2 linked regions of the Saccharomyces cerevisiae S288C genome follow. Changing the gene in region 2 together with the main gene of any one other region gives a genetic interaction. Each region holds a gene or a part of one and is shown on either strand. Other genes may lie near its edges.

Evidence for each region. Genes that interact genetically often act in the same process or in processes that back each other up.
Region 1: mutations in TOS8 (region 2) and ECM12 together harm fitness more than expected from each alone (negative genetic interaction), as found in Saccharomyces cerevisiae (one large-scale study listed by BioGRID).

The regions. Positions count from the first base shown.
Region 1 is NC_001140.6:147,197-150,180, reverse strand, and holds ECM12 (Ecm12p), read right to left. Parts: upstream 957-2,984; coding exon 501-956; downstream 1-500. Other genes in the region: YHR022C (uncharacterized protein), read left to right, coding at 1-606; 40S ribosomal protein eS27 RPS27B, read left to right, coding at 1,512-1,514, 2,065-2,310. UniProt on the Saccharomyces cerevisiae protein: May be involved in cell wall organization and biogenesis.
Region 2 is NC_001139.9:323,786-326,721, forward strand, and holds TOS8 (Tos8p), read left to right. Parts: upstream 1-1,545; coding exon 1,546-2,376; downstream 2,377-2,936.

The sequences.
Region 1 (2,984 bases), on a different chromosome or scaffold from region 2:
AGGGTTTCGGACCTCTACCACAAGACAATCCAATTTGATACTTTGGTAAAATACTATCGTACCTTTGGCGTAAAAGGACAGTTGCCGAATTATGCGGGTTTCAAAGCTAAAAACTCTGGCACAATTTATGAAAGTTGTGGCAATTTCCTAGAAGAGCGCCTGATCAATGCCAATAAATCGACTGCTCAAAGACGCACCAGTATTGATGTTCAAGTTTTTGATACCAATCAAATGGAGGTTTCGTACCTTTCGGAGCTAACTACTCTTCAAATTAGGCAGTCTGATGCAATTATATTATGTTTCGATTCTACTAATGACAGCTCTCTTGCCAGCTTAGAGTCTTATATTTGTATTATTCACCACGTACGTTTGGAATGTGAATTGGATATTCCAATTATTATAGCGTGTACGAAATGTGATCTTGATTCGGAAAGAACAATTACTCATGAAAAGGTTTTAACATTTATCCAAGAGCTGGGTTTCTCGCCAGGCAATTTAGACTATTTTGAGACATCCTCCAAGTTCAATGTAAATGTTGAAGATTTGTTCTTGGCAGTATTATTGAAAATTGAAAAATCTAAAAGTGATCGCAGGAAACTTTTGTAAGGGTTTATAATCAAGATGTATCCGCTGGAGAATTCGCCTCTCTTACGTGACAAAGAGAAGACCTGTGTTATTGAAACTGGAGGAGGAGGTAATACAAGCTTCGAAAGCCATTCAGTAACAACTACTCTAGATGAACCAAAAAAACCTACAACAAAAAAGGGTGAACAAACGCCAACGAAAACGTGCTTGGCTAAAAACGCTACCACTCGAAGGTCAAATGAAAGTCCGTCGAATGATGAAAAGAAAAAAATAAAAAAAGGCATAATAGCCTGCTGCTTAATGTGAAAATAAAAAACAAGAAGAACATGTATATATATGTACTTTATTAGAAAGTGAAAAGATCTGTTCATTGTGACAGCTATCTACTTATTATCTATTTTATAAATCCCATAAATTCTTTCCATATTACTTACGTCTATTATAACCTTCCGCGTAAAAAAGAAATATTGACATCCTTTCTTGTATTTAGCCCATACATTTTCACCCATGCACCATTGGATTATAAAGAAAAAAATTTAATAAAAATCTGCCGGGGAAATTTCAGAAGAAAAAAGGAAGGTGTGTTCGCATTTAACACGGGCCACCATAAACTTTTGTTTGCCACCCATCTAGACGGGATCCGCCCCGCCCAAGGCTCTCTTCCTCTAGCTAGGCAATGTGGCTCTCGGAAAGGAAACTCCCACCAGGACGTGGTGGGAAATGCAGCAATTCCCCTCTGCTTCCCGCTGACCTTTCTTGGGCCCAGTTTAGTAAGTATGCTCTCATCTTTCATGTGTGCTGTAACTTGCAAGTCATTAACACTATCTATAATTGATATTAGACGTTAAAAGTTCTATATAGCATTTGCTTTTATTTAGAGAATACGAAAACACACCAGATAATTAGTGCATATATATTAGATCAATATGGTATGTGAAAGAGATATTAAACATAAGATGTGAAGGAAACAGAAGAGAACAATATTTGAGGAATGAATTCGGATGAAATTCTAGTAGAAGAAAAAAGCCTAAAATAAAAAGAAAGAAAGGAAAATAAAGCAGTAATCAACCTCTGACATTTGATAGGAGTATGCGTTTCCGCAAAATCAACAAATCATGCATTAAACTGGTAACGGAGACTTTAAAGACGTGCAAAGAAAGCAATTAATTTTTAGATAGGGAATTGAAAGGCTCTGTATAGCAGAAAATTTGAGATCTACTGTGGAGATAAGCATATGGTGTTGAGTTATGGGTAATCTAACAATAATAGAAACTTATAGCAGTTGAAGATGGCGGATCATGATGCCGGATACTGCTGGGTAATGATTTATCCTTCTTTTTTTGGAGCACAAATGCTCACTTTTTCCTGTCTCCTCTAACTTTTCTGATGTATCCTACCCAACCCTACAGTTTTCAAATTACTAACATCAATTTTTTTGTGAAACGACTTTCGTTTTCGTTTCTATTTATTTCATTACAGGTTTTAGTTCAAGATTTGTTGCACCCAACTGCTGCTTCTGAAGCCAGAAAGCACAAGTTAAAGACTTTGGTTCAAGGCCCAAGATCCTACTTCTTGGATGTCAAATGCCCAGGTTGTTTGAACATCACCACTGTTTTTTCTCATGCTCAAACTGCTGTCACTTGTGAATCATGCTCTACTGTCTTATGTACTCCAACCGGTGGTAAGGCCAAATTATCTGAAGGTACTTCTTTCAGAAGAAAGTAAGTTAATTTATTTTTTTGTGTAGTTAAAATCATCTTCTTTTATCTAAATATATAAATATAAATTTACTTTTAATCAATTAAATTAACCTTTTAGAATCGGAAAGGATACGCTAAGGAGGCGATGTTGAAGTAGGTCGGCAGGTTCATTATATATTTAAATAATGAATTTTCCAATGATGTTTAAAAGGAGAGGAACATTCTTGACATTGTTAATCTTATGATCAAAGGCACAATCCGTAGGAGAGGAGGTTTTGTCATTTGAATTGTATCGTACAGTAAGTTTCTCTAGTATTCTTAGTAATGACCATAAAAGTGCAGATATAGTCCTCGACCCTGTAGCCACAGTTAGCTGCTGTGGTGTTAAACAAAGGCATTTCATCCGAGCGTAACCTCTTTGTAGGAGTTAAATGGAGTATCGTGATAGAGCCCAATACTATATCCACAATAGTGATAATGATAGTAACATTTGATACATCGAATACCCTAATAGTAATACCAGTCACATTTGGTTAGAAATCGCTGGTAACATTACTGATACCATTTTTTGGTATTAAAATCTATACTGTAAGTGCCAGAAGCATAAATGATGCACCTGGAATTACATGTATACATGTTATTGCAATGGTCATTATACCGGGCATAAATGTCACTGGAAATAGTGAAAGCTGCTGTTAG
Region 2 (2,936 bases):
AAAGTCTTGTGAGGAAGATAAGCAAGCACGGTAGGTAAACCAGATATGCACATAAATTACCGCTGACTCTCCCCTAAAAGAACTATATTGATGGTCTGACATATAAGGCACCGCTGAAAAGCATGTACAATTTTAATGTCTTTGCATTTGCATAGTCAGTGTGGCGTGCATTCTCCACAGAATCTAACTAATCAAATGTATCGTGACTGGGTGTTGCATCATTTTCGCGAATAAAAAATAGAACACTGTAGAGTAGCGCAGCGCTTTTTTTTTATTGAGGCCCTTTGCAGAACCAAGGCTGCAGTCTTTTCTCTGAAGATTAGCTTTGCTAATATAAACAAATCCGTTAAGTTCTTGGGAATTTCTTTGAAGGGGGGGAGGCGGAAATGTAGTGAGTTGTTTTTACTGTGATTTGCTTTTTCTTTCGCTCATGGCTTATTTTCCTTTCCTTTTCTTCCCACATTCAATAATGCAGCGTAAATATAGAACAAGATTACTTGTTTATACGAGATATACGGGCAGTGAATAAAGTGGTACTAGAACTAATTATCAAAAAGAGTAACTGTCATTCAACATTTCTGGCTCTAGACCCAATAGGACATAAACTTTTAGATTTTTGAAAAATGGCTTGGCGCAGCACGGTAATACTAGTTGGTTTTTTAAGCCTACTTTCGCCAATAAAAAAAACTACGAAACAGTTCTTACTTACCAATATCCCCTGCCACTACACTGTACTTTAGTGAACCCAACATCACGAATAAGAAACAATAAACAATAAACAATAAACAAGTGTTGCTTTAGCTCAACTTGCCCCTGAGAAATAACAGCGCAACTATCAACAATGAATGCATAGCATGGAGTAGAGTAAAAAAGCTTTGTTTTGGCCCCGCCTAGACAAGAGGCAGCTGCGCGAAATAAGAAATTATAAACTCTTGTTTTTCTATACTGCTCTCGCTCAACCTTTTTTTCCCACGCCTATTATCGGTTCAAGGGACAGCAGATCCGCTCTGCGCACTGGAGCAGAAACATTCCCAGTTCGGTTCCGACTAAAACCCGCCTTCCCACGCGAAATTCTGGGCCGTTCAAGGCAACTTATTAGTAAGAAGAGCAAGGGGAAGGTACATTAAAGCAAGAGAACCGTGCATGAATTTATAGACATTTTTCATGGGAGGTAGGGAATTTTCAGACTTTAAGTTACACCCCATAGGGGCAAACATACAGCAGTGGTTGTTATCTTTCATTCGCGCCAGGAAAAGCCGCTACCCACACTAAGTGACGTGTAATTGCCGTTCCCTTGTTTTGAAGCACACTGAAAGCTGAAGTGATCATAAGAAAAGAAAAAAATAAATGCTGAGAAGGGTTTGCAAAAAAAGAAAGGTTCCTAGTATATATATGGAAGGCTTCGTTAGCTTAAACTTTCTACAGTCATGCATACAGCAATTTTTTTAGAGCATTACTTCTTGAGTGGCAAAAGCATTTCTTTTTTTTTTCAGTATAGGAAGTAATCACTGTAGAAATAAGTCAACAATAATTGCATAGAAAAAAATGGGTACTAGCATAGTAAATCTAAACCAAAAGATTGAACTGCCCCCAATCCAGGTCTTATTCGAGTCACTTAACCGAGAAAATGAAACAAAACCCCACTTCGAGGAACGCAGGTTATATCAACCTAATCCTTCATTTGTTCCTAGAACAAATATAGCAGTTGGTAGCCCAGTTAACCCGGTTCCAGTATCATCCCCTGTTTTTTTCATTGGTCCTTCTCCACAGAGAAGCATTCAGAATCACAACGCTATTATGACTCAAAACATACGTCAGTATCCAGTTATATATAATAATAACCGAGAAGTTATATCTACGGGTGAGAGAAATTACATAATAACTGTAGGGGGGCCTCCGGTAACTTCTTCGCAGCCCGAGTATGAGCATATCTCAACTCCCAATTTCTATCAAGAGCAGAGACTGGCACAACCTCATCCGGTAAATGAGAGTATGATGATAGGTGGTTATACAAATCCTCAGCCTATTAGCATTTCCCGAGGTAAAATGCTATCCGGCAACATAAGTACGAACTCGGTCCGCGGATCTAATAATGGATATTCCGCAAAAGAAAAAAAACATAAGGCACATGGTAAGAGGTCCAATTTACCAAAGGCCACCGTTTCAATTCTAAACAAATGGTTACATGAGCACGTAAACAACCCTTACCCAACCGTGCAGGAAAAAAGAGAACTGCTCGCGAAAACTGGTCTAACTAAACTTCAAATTTCCAATTGGTTCATTAATGCTAGGAGAAGAAAAATATTTTCTGGCCAGAATGACGCAAATAATTTCAGAAGAAAATTCAGTTCTTCTACAAATTTAGCTAAGTTCTGATTTTACTTTTTTCGGAATTACCTAAAATGGGTTTACGGCATAGAAGATAGATAGATTAAGAGGTAGGTTGACTTTTCCTTTGAAATTTGTAATTTTAATAAAAATTCCAAAAAAAAAAAAAAAAAATTCAAAGTAAAAAGACAAACTTTGGTGAGAATCTTCGATTAACAAAATTACTCCTTAATATTCTTAAATTGGAAAATGATCATGGTTATCAGTGTATTTTCTTTTACCGTGTATATCAAGTTTTATACCCCGTATAGCTTCAATATACGCACTTTTCTCAGATCTTTTTCTGCCGTCATTCCTTTCTTCCTTTTCTTTCAACTAGAAAAAGAAACGAAATCAGACCATATATCTAGTCGCCAAGCATTTTTCCCTTCTTGGATAGGAGGAGCAAAAGAAATACTAACAGTTATTAAAATGCACCATGCCCTCTGTACATCATAAACCCACTTACAGGCTTTTTTTTCATTCTCGATCAGAAGAGAAAAAAAGAAAAATATAACTCGGCAGGCTGTACAACCTTATTGTTCTGCGTAGTTTACCTGGTACATAAA